Linked DNA regions of Arabidopsis thaliana. The protein of the gene in region 2 interacts with the protein of the main gene of each other region in a pairwise test. Each region holds a gene or a part of one and is shown on either strand. Other genes may lie near its edges.

Region 1 (5,381 bases), on a different chromosome or scaffold from region 2:
GTTGAAAAAAAAACAAAAAACAAAAAACTGTTAGCGATAAGATTTTAATTGAATGCAAAATGTTTTCCAATAGGTTGACAAATTCTTTAAACAAAAACAAAAAAGGTTGACAAATGAGAGGAACAAAATTTATTTTTATTGTGAATGAGAATGAAGACGTGGCAAATTATTGACGGTTCATTGTCGGAGCTTCGAACGAAAGTATGAACCTTTCTCTTTTCCTTGTTTTTTTTGTGTATTTTGAGTCGAAGGATCTTTCGGAAATTATAGCCGCCACCATCGACGACGACGACATGGCGTTATTACTTTCTCTACTTCAATATAGTACTACTACTAATTTTGTAAAATATATGTCTATGGATTTGGCTTGCAAGATAAGGGATTAAAGTTTACAAAAAACAAGAAAAAGGTTCATAGAATCATATTACATAGTTGTAAGTAATATGATTGATTGATTGATTGATCATCGAAGTAATATTTGATTGATTGATCATCGAAGTATCAATCACATTAGACCAGTCCCTTGTCCGGTATGTAATCATTCTCTTAATTATCAACAAACCAAATCTTTGAGAAACCTTTCAAACCATTCACTGGTCTCTGTCGAATGTTTTCTTTATCAGCAGTCTAATGCTCCACCACGGCACTGAACTATGGACCCGCTCTAAATGTTATAAAATTTTCAAACCCTAAATTTTATTTAACTTTAGGTACAAGACATACCTCTTGGTCATACATACACACACATATATACATCAAAATTTCGGAAGAAAATAGAAATAAATAAAAGCAAAGTAAAAACGAGTGCTTTGATCAATCTGCTAGCTTTTGTCTATCTCTCGCGATCAAACTTCATCGCCGGGTTCAAGTTTTGTAACACCGATATGATGTTGCTAATGAGAGCCAGCAAGAGAATGAAGCCTATGATCATTCTCATGAGATAGATATACCGTGGATTGTTGCGGTTTCTCTCCATTGCTTCCTCTGTAATAAACCAGCTCTTCTTCTCTGTCTTCACCATAGATGACTCCTTGTCTATGGATGTATCACTATCAACCGCTCTTGATGTATCTTGTTTCACCTGTGAAGGAAAGTTACATAATCATTATCTTTATATATCCAACATATGTTGAAATCATATAGAATCAACATAAGAGCAACGCAAAACCTCTTGTTTTGGTCGTATGATGCTTCGTGTGAGTTGAGATTGCCGGGTGCTACTACTGATGGAAGGTTCTCCATAGGTTTGTAGATCATTGCAAGACGATAGAATCTCATCTCCACCAGTCTGGAGAAATTGTCTATTCGAACTACCAACACTATCATCACCTGGACTTGATGTTCCTTGGTAACTCTGACATAATATAATCAAAATGTGAGAATGGAGATTACAGCACAGAAGTAACGATAAAGAAAACGGGTGATTTGCTTTACCGTTGCAGATATCGATTCAGCATCACTATTACTATCACTGCTATAATCAACAATAATCCCTGACAAAGCCTTCTTTGGCCTGTGATCGTTGCGGTTCTCGGTCATAGATAAGGTTGGTCTGGATATGAAATCTTCATTGGCAAACAAATATTCAACCTGCTCTCGGTTAACATGCCTCAATCCACCGAGAAACTCATCATCATTCGGGGTTAAGTGAGGAGCTTGTGGATGCACAGTAGGATTGTTATTGTCACTGAATAACATGTCTGGATCCAGTACATCCCACAAAGAGAAATCTTCTTGTTCATTCTTTGGAGTCCCCAAATCATCCACAGACATACCAAAGAAATTTTCTTGACCTGGCTTCTCAAACTGAAAATGTAAAAGAGAGTTTTGAGTAAACGAATCAAGTACATGAGATTATCAAATAAAGAAACTGGAGTCACCTCAAGCGCTGTGGGACTCGTAGCTCTGACAGTATTCGAATCAGAGACCAAAGATTGACTCGGCTCACTCGAGTTGTTACCACCAGATGGGACGTCTCCATCTTCACCCTTATACATCACTTGGCAGATAACATAGTTCCTCTGAACAAATTCCAAAAGTACACACACACATAAGTTCTTTGCCAACAAAACAAAAAATCAAACACACATAACTCAAACAATCACAAGCTTTGGCAGAAGTAAGAACACTAGGTTACAACTTCTATACATAGCGCTTAAAACTCTGTGACAACACAGAACGTACTAATGATAGCAACCAACACAGGGGAGATTACAGTAATATATTCAACACAGGGAAGCAAATACACTAGCCTTCTAGGCCACAACTTCTATATATAACACTTCAAACTCTGATACACAGAACCTAAACTTGATGTACTAAGCATCATAGGGAAAAGATAAGTCAAACCCAAATCTATTCTTACAAGAACATGACTTTAACCTCAAATTGGGATAAAGATAGCAACCAACACAGGGACAGATGAATCAAACCCAAATCCAATTCAAGAAGATCAACTAACAGAAACATAACGCTAAGTCAAACTAACACAGAAGCTCAAATTCAAGAAACTCTGAGTTTATTATACCTGATCTTGAGGCAAACAAGTGATGTGATACTCATGCATAACCCAAGGAGTCCAAACACCTTTAGGAACTCTACCTTCATAATACACAAGCGTCTTCTTTATCCCAATCTCGCCGCGATTACCTCTCTTATCTTTGATTTTCCTATCAACACCAGTAGCTTTCCAATACCCTGAACTTGTAGTCCTCTTCGTTACCTTCTTCTTCGCAGAAGTATACTCCTTTGGACAGAAGAAGTACCACACAGGATCATCCGATTTTATCTTCGATAAAGCTACAACAACCAAACAAATCCAGAATTAGAAATGACCGATGATGAGACAACGATGATGATTTTGAAGTGAGGAAACTTACAAGGCAAGTAAATTGGGTCGTAACTACAGATGTTGATCTCGCTAATGGCTTCGTCGACGAGCCAAGTCTTACCCAAAATTTTGTTCTTTAGATAATGGTTTATCAATTCCTCTCCCGTTGGATAAAATCTATACCCAACCAGATCTTTCACCATTTTTTTTACACAGAAACAGATCAAATAACAAAACTTTTTGAATCGACACTGAAAATTTTTTAGTGTTTGAGTTTTAAGGGCTTTTTCTCACTTCTCTGTTTCTTTCTTTTTTCCTCTATCTATTATTGTTTTTTCTGAAAGACGAACAGTACTAATACAGTTGGGGTGAAGAAGAACCATAAAAAAAGAAAGAAAGATATTTGTGGCGGAATGCAGTAAAAGTATATTAATGTTTTTCCCCTAAACGTTGACAAATGAGAGGGACAAAAAAATATTTTAATTGTGTATGAAGTAACACGTGGCAGTAAGAAAAATTGTTTGAACTTCGAACCGAAGTTTCAGTTTTTTTTTTTCCTTTCCGAAGGATCTTTCTGGAATATTATAGCCGACATAATTGACAACATAGTAACATACATATACGTAATTACGTTCTATACTACACCTAAATAATCGTAATTAATTTTTAGATTTGTTTTTGTCAATCCTATTACATTATCATTAGAGATGTTCAGGATTTGAATGCTTACGGCGGTAAAAACGGTCTATAATTGATCCGCGACGATTTTCTTTTATTTTTCTTAATCTATAATCTTACATACTCTAATTTATAAATGGTAAATCAAAAACGGTCTAATTCGCAAACGGATTTATCCGTCTCAACCACCGTAACCATTCACATCCTCAAATCTAATCCTATTATTATGGTGATGAACTGATGATCGTAAAACTATTAATTATGCAACATAAAGGTCCACTTAACTACTAAACAAAATCCAATATTACTGCTGTAGATTCAAATGCTCGATGTCGATATATACCAAACCAAACAATCATAAGTTTAACCAACTATATATAGCTTAGTAAAAAACGAGGGCCTATATTGTTGAAACAAGTACTCTTACGATTGTTTCGATGGCTCATGGCTATATTGAAAAAAGAAATGAGAAGTTTTAAAGACATACAATTTTGGACGGAGGTAGGGAAAATTCGAAAATGCAAAATAAACACAAAACTTGGTGAAACTCGGAAGACAGCAGAATTTATAAGAAGAACCTTCTCCTGCTCGTGTCCATTTCAGGCTGTAATGAAATACAAAAAAAAAACACATCAGAAAATAAAATTAAAAATCATCAAAAACTCTAAAGAACAGCAATGAAGCTGCTCGTGTCCATTTCTGGTGATTTTACCTTATGAACCCATTCAAATTCTCCACCTTTGGTGTCAAAAGTTCCATGCTGTAGAGTAACTAGCTTAAGCGTGAATCGAGGACCGCATTCCTAAAAATCCAAAGTTTAATGATACAAACATTGATAATGTTGATTACTTTTTGATTCAACATGGTCAAAACTGACCTGAAGACGAGGTTTTATTGTCTCTTCTTTTCCTTTATCACTCTTGCTTTCCTTTGTCTCAAATATGTAACTGGATAGTGTTGAAATTTGTTCAATAAAAAGTTTTATTGGAGAATGGAGCAAAAGCAACTCGAAGAAGAAAAGGTGAAGTTATGTACCGGTGATGTCTGAAAAATATAAAGTCACGCTGGTTGTGGAATGTTACAACTCTCCTACCACGGAAATTAGGATCCGGAGGGAAGAGTGATTGAAAAAATCTGAAAAAAGGAAAAATCTAACATCAGCAAGAAATTCAAAGAGACCATAAAACCAAGTCAACAACACTATGAAAACTATACCTCCCAACACGATTCCCTAAACGCGTTGTAAAGTTATTCAAAACCAGTTCTGGTTGATGGCTTGTAGGATTTCCGTGATTCTGCAGTTACATTTAACATCCAATTCAGTGATCACTAATCTACACTCGATGTAGAGAAGAGTAATGGTTAGCTTACATACCTTAATATCCTTCCTTAGAACAAGATTTGACAATTTGAAATGAGCAGTAGGACCATTTGGCAAACCGATGATAAGAAGCGCATCTACATATGAAATAGCAAAAGCTTGAAACAAAGCATATACAGTAGAGAGCACAAAACTTGAAACTCAGTGAAAACTAACCAGGTTCTCTACGATTTGTATGAACAACAATAAGAGATGTAAAATCTTTCTTCGTTGCGTATTCTACAATCTGCAGAACCATATCTAACAAGGTTATATAGTTGCAAAAAGACTAACTTTATAGAGAAACAAGGAAGCTATGAAACTTATAACAACACCTTCTTCAAATCATAGGTTCCTCTCTTTTGATAATGAGAGTTTGGTATCACCGAAAGCAACTCAGATATTAAAGCAGGTCCTCTCTGCAATCCAACAACATTACTTGAATCAGAAAACCACAAACAAATCTGTAGAATCTCTTATGAAACAATGGTACCAAAAAAAAAAGACTTACAG
Region 2 (5,158 bases):
TTTTAGGATTCGGCAAAAAAAAAAAACCAAAAAAAAAAAATTACCCTAAACTTAAACGTACTATGAATCAAATTCCGCCATGAAACCCTAAACTCGAATGGAAAATAGAGATCCCGCAACAATTTCGTATGAAAAACTCAGCAGAAAATCTGCATCGCAAGATCTATTTTGTTATAGAATGAAAAAATTGAATCATGTGAAACCTAGAGAAGAGATCTTTTTCGAATACATGCCAGTTTTATGAAGAATCGATATGATAAATCAGAAAAAAACAAAGAGAGAATCAATCACCTGAGAATTTTCGCCGGCAAATGAATTGCAGAGTAGCTTAGACTTTTGATAAAACGTGTGGTGAACACAGACGTGCTTTGAGTTTCTATTGAGAGTTACCGGTTTAGTCGGTAAACCCGTGAAACTCTTTTTTATAAAACCGGTGATTTCCGGTTTAGTTGACTCTGTAATGTAGCACGTGGTTGTGTTCGGTGGAGAAACTGAACCACGAAGACTATTTGGTGTTGGATAATAATGGATCGCATGCCGTTTATCGTCACTAATTATCTGATCCAACGGTTGAGATTTAGTGGGGTAGCTTTTGCGGTTGTTGTTGAAGACTTGTAGTGATAAAAATGTTAAGAATATTATATGAAAATTCTAGTTTGGAATTTTGGATTAAGAATATATATAGTCTTTTTATATATTTCCCTAGTAATAAAATAGGTGCTCTTTGGGGAGGGGATACACAGATGCTCAAGTCTTGTAATTCGAATCAAAGCTTGAAGTAAAGAAGAACTCATAACTTTATGTTAAATTCTTTGGCATATTGAGATGCTTTCTTTTCTTCTCTCTAAAAGAAACTTCCTGCAGAACTCTATTCACTACTTTGGGCGTTGTAGCAATAATCTCAAGCAGCAAACACAAAATTGTTTTTCCTCTCCTGGTATTTGCCTTAATCCCGTACAGATGTCCTGCGTCAAAAGGTTTATGTCAGTAAAAGATTGTGTAAACATAAATTAGAGCAGTTTTAGACTATTTTGACTCGATTCTGTAAATGTCAACTTGTGAGTATAGCTCTATTTGATCACATACTTGAGCATACATTTGGTTTCTTTTGCACATCTCAAAGGACTACCAAAATAAGATAGAAAATCATGAAATGCAGACATATTACTTTCCCTAAGATCGAATCTAACATGACAGAGGACTCCAAGATTTTATAGTAGTTTGTGAACCGATCATTCAGCAACAGGGGGAAATTTATACCAATTAAACTCTACTAGGGATAGACACCATTACCAGTATTATAAACCTAAACCAGTTCTATGTCAAGTTGACGCCATCTTTCTCCTAGCCAAACATGCCTTTTTCATTATTCTGTTCAAAGCATTGCATTACCAAATTTGACCAGCAACTAGCAAATATAAAAGACAGCAAAGAAGCTGCAGGAAACTAGCATAAAGCATTCATGAAAACCGATGGGGTTTGACATGACATATAAGAAACATGGAAAATATGCCTCAAGAGTCTTTCCCCTAGCTGTTCTCAAACGAGACCTCTCAGCAACTAGCAACCTAATTCATAAGTAACTTATAAAACATCAGCTAAAGAATATGTTATCAGCATTTCATCAACATAATCTTTCCATATTAAATTTATAATGCTCCGTACTAAGCTTAACAAACCAATTAAAGTATGCCTTTGGGCTTTGGCATTATTCTGTTCAACCATTTCATTCCATTCTAAACTTGAGAAACATGGAAAACACAGTGGCTCAGCACACTTTTACCAACGATTAATCATAGAACCATTCATGGATCAAAAAGCAAGCCACCCCAACATCAAGAACATGAGCCAGGACTCTATAAGTAGGATAACTAGAGTTACAACTTAGAAGCTTACTCTAACTGTTTTCAAAAGATCTCCTTCTCAATTCTAGACAGTAATTTTTTTACCTATAATGTTATGCGACCTAATTCATAAGTAACCTATAAAACATCAGCATAAGAATACATTGTCAGCATTTCATCAACTCAATCTCTCCAGATTAAAAATCAACATCTTCAGTGTAACTCACACTAATGGAGATATCAACAAGCCTAGGAAGCTTATACAGCAAAGTTGTAGCAACTACAATGGAATAAGGCTCTTGTGGCATGTTTATTACCTTAATAAAGAGTATCTTTTTCAATCAAAAGACTCTAGTTTATCAATTACCTCTAGTTAATTAGCTGGAGTTTTCGAGCTCCGAAACCCTTTTTTAAGCTCAGTAACTCTCTTCATACAAGCTGCTTTCGACTTCCCAGGTACTGCAGCTGCAATCTTCTCCCATCTCATAGCTGCCTCCTTAGGAAAAGCTTTTAAAGCATTGAGCAATGCAATGTCTTCTCCATTACTCCAAATCTCCTTAGTACCTTCCGCATCTCCACCAGCTCCAGAATTCTCTTCGTTTTCATCAACCAATCTAGGATCTGAAGCTTTCCTATTCTTTAAAAACTGAGCGTAATCATCACTCTCATAGATTTTCTTCTCACCTATCTCTTTCGCCTTCTTAATCACATTCTCTGTCTTGTATCTTCCTCCGAACGCTGAAGCCACCGTCTCCCATCTCCCAGGTTTACCAGCTGGATGCTTAATCAACTGCTTCTTCAAAATCTCGATCTCTTCAGCAGTCCAATCTTTAGTTTCATTCACAGATCCACTCTCCTTAGACTGCGGAATCACCACTTTCCTCGAAACTTCAGTCACCGCAGAAGCATTTTCCGGCGGATTATCGCTCTTCGTCGAACCTTTAGATCGCTTATTCACCGATTTCCTCCTGGATTCACGTTCGTTATCCGTGGATGACTCATCGTGAATCTGTTCTGGCTCCAAGATCTGACCATAACCGACGCGAATCTTACCTCCGGTGAGCGAGCTAGGAGCGAAAGGACCGACGAGGAAAGAGAGGGAAAGCCATAATAGTAGCGATTTGGCAGGTTCAGATTCGAAGTAGAAGAAGGAGAGAGATAATATGATGAGGGAGATTGAGACGGAGATTGAAATGAAAAGCTTGTTAGGGATTCTAGCTTCTTCTTCTTCCTCCGCCGTGTGAGAAGAAGAAGGACGAGATTGGAAAACGAATCTAGGCCTGTCTTCGTCGAAAAAATCCATTGTTGCTCTGTTGCACTGTAGAAGAAGCTGAAACAATAAATAAAACTTAGAAAAAAAAATCTCAGAAATAAGTGTTTTTGGGCTTTTGAAAGTCCATATACGAAGATTTTTGGGTATTGTAAAGCCCATATATATTAAAATTTAGCATATGACAAAATTGGTTATACGAATTTTAATTAGTTAATTTTAGAGTAAGCAAACCCTTAATTAATTAAATTTTAGTGGAAAGCGTGTACACTCGAGATCGCAGATAGAGATAGTAGGACTCAGAGAAGATTGTGCCACTAATCATGCTCTTGAGCCTTTCTGTTCAACAACGAAGCAATTGCAGAGAAATCACACGTTTGTGTACGACATTTTTTTTTTTTAACGTCGATTTATTGGTTAGTTTTATATTGCAACTATATTATAAAATGAAAATATTGTTGACGGAAAAATGGAAATTTTAGGAGCCAGAAAAAAGGGAAGGAAACAATAATTCACTATTACGAAAATATATAAACTTGTACGAAAAGTCAAGGAAACCATTTATCACCTGTTACAACTTGGAATGGAAAGCGGAGAATATATTAGGCAAAGGCTAGAGAAGTTAAATAAAGGATAAAAGCTTACGGTTCAGATTGGAGATGACGGCATTTATGAAATATCGACGGTTTATCTGTGGATAATTACTGTAGGTTGAGATGCAGGAGATTCGAGCTTAGCACCAACAGACACTACCATAATAAATAGCTTAATAATATATTCCTTTTTAGCTGAGATATTATAAAGTAGGGTTTAATTTGTTATTATCACGAGAACCACACAAATACGCGGCAAAGAGAGAGAAAGATAGAGAGAGAGAGAGAGAGAGAGAGAGAAAGCGGTGGAGTCGTGATAAGGGAGAAGCTCTGGATACAGTCTCTTCCCGTCGTCGGAGACGGAGTTTATGCCTATTGGCTCCTGAGGTAAAATCGAGATCGCCTTTTTTTATTTTGTTTCTCGTGTTTTGACTGATGCGCTTTTGATTCTCTCTTCGTTTGTTTGCTTTGAGTATATTTTTATTATTGGAGTCGCGTTTCTGAGAACTTTGGATTTGAACGTATACGGATTGGTTTTTTTATTGAATTTTAGGGTTACGCTTTTTTGTGGGTTTTTTTTTTTTTTTATGTTATCGTTTCGGTTTGTGAATTTCTTCGTTCATTCAGATCTGAGATAAATTGAGTCTATGGTTGGTTGGTTTTTATGGTAAAACTTCAGCAGAGTTGAAATTAGGTACTAGAATTTTAGATATGATGATAGTTTCTCAGAGATTATGAATTGGGATCTTTCTGTACCTCTTTGCAGTTTGGTTTCTTAGGGTTTTGACCTTCGCCAGTATTGGATTTGGATTTCATTGTTAATATGCCTTTGTGTAAGACATGTTCTAGATAACATTATTTGTACGATACCTTGAATTGCCTGTTTTCGTTGCATTTCTAATGTCTTTATATACTGCTTTTGTGCTCATTATCAGGTTAGATTAAGCTTCGTATTTAGTGGATTTTCTTCTTTTGAGATATGGAACAAGATTACATCTGCTCAGGGTGCTACCAGTATCGAGTTTTTTCATTGCAAGAAGCACTCGATTGGCGGTTTCTTGTGCACTCAGATTTCCTTATCGGCTCTTTCGTGAACTGCACCTAGTGGTCAGACCTTCTGCGATCTTTACGGAAGGTGTGATGCAAATTTCTGATTCAGGTATGGGTTTCTGAATAAATCTGTTGACACTTGCATCGTAGCTTTCACAAGATACTTTGAATAGATGATATTCCTCAGTGTAAGAATTGTTATTTTGGTTTCTGACATATTTTGGTTTCTGTGTGGTAAAGGTAGAATTTATTTTCAGTATCTAAATAAGCAAATATTGGATTTATCAATTTTCTCTAAGCCTTTTTAGAGTATGAACGCAATATGCAAATTTAGAAAAAAGGAAAAAAGTGCTATCAAGAATAGGAAAATTCGAAAAGGAATATTAGATGATAAGTTTTGG

The links.
Region 1: the proteins of maMYB (region 2) and NAC069 interact in a two-hybrid assay, tested with the Arabidopsis thaliana proteins (one large-scale study listed by BioGRID).

The regions. Positions count from the first base shown.
Region 1 is NC_003075.7:673,193-678,573, forward strand, and holds NAC069 (NAC domain containing protein 69), read right to left. Parts: upstream 3,254-5,381; 5' UTR 3,034-3,253; coding exon 2,880-3,033; exon of another isoform or gene 2,800-2,879; coding exon 2,528-2,799; intron 2,022-2,527; coding exon 1,881-2,021; intron 1,807-1,880; coding exon 1,435-1,806; intron 1,355-1,434; coding exon 1,169-1,354; intron 1,082-1,168; coding exon 833-1,081; 3' UTR 670-832; downstream 1-669. Other genes in the region: MEE49 (Ribosomal RNA processing Brix domain protein), read right to left, coding at 4,074-4,112, 4,221-4,310, 4,386-4,455, 4,544-4,642, 4,724-4,803, 4,884-4,966, 5,046-5,115, 5,204-5,287 and 1 more. UniProt on the Arabidopsis thaliana protein: Transcription activator activated by proteolytic cleavage through regulated intramembrane proteolysis (RIP). Involved in salt stress response during seed germination and seedling growth.
Region 2 is NC_003076.8:18,403,451-18,408,608, forward strand, and holds maMYB (Duplicated homeodomain-like superfamily protein), read right to left. Parts: upstream 3,226-5,158; 5' UTR 3,148-3,225; coding exon 2,218-3,147; 3' UTR 2,212-2,217; intron 1,569-2,211; exon of another isoform or gene 966-1,568; 3' UTR 565-965; downstream 1-564.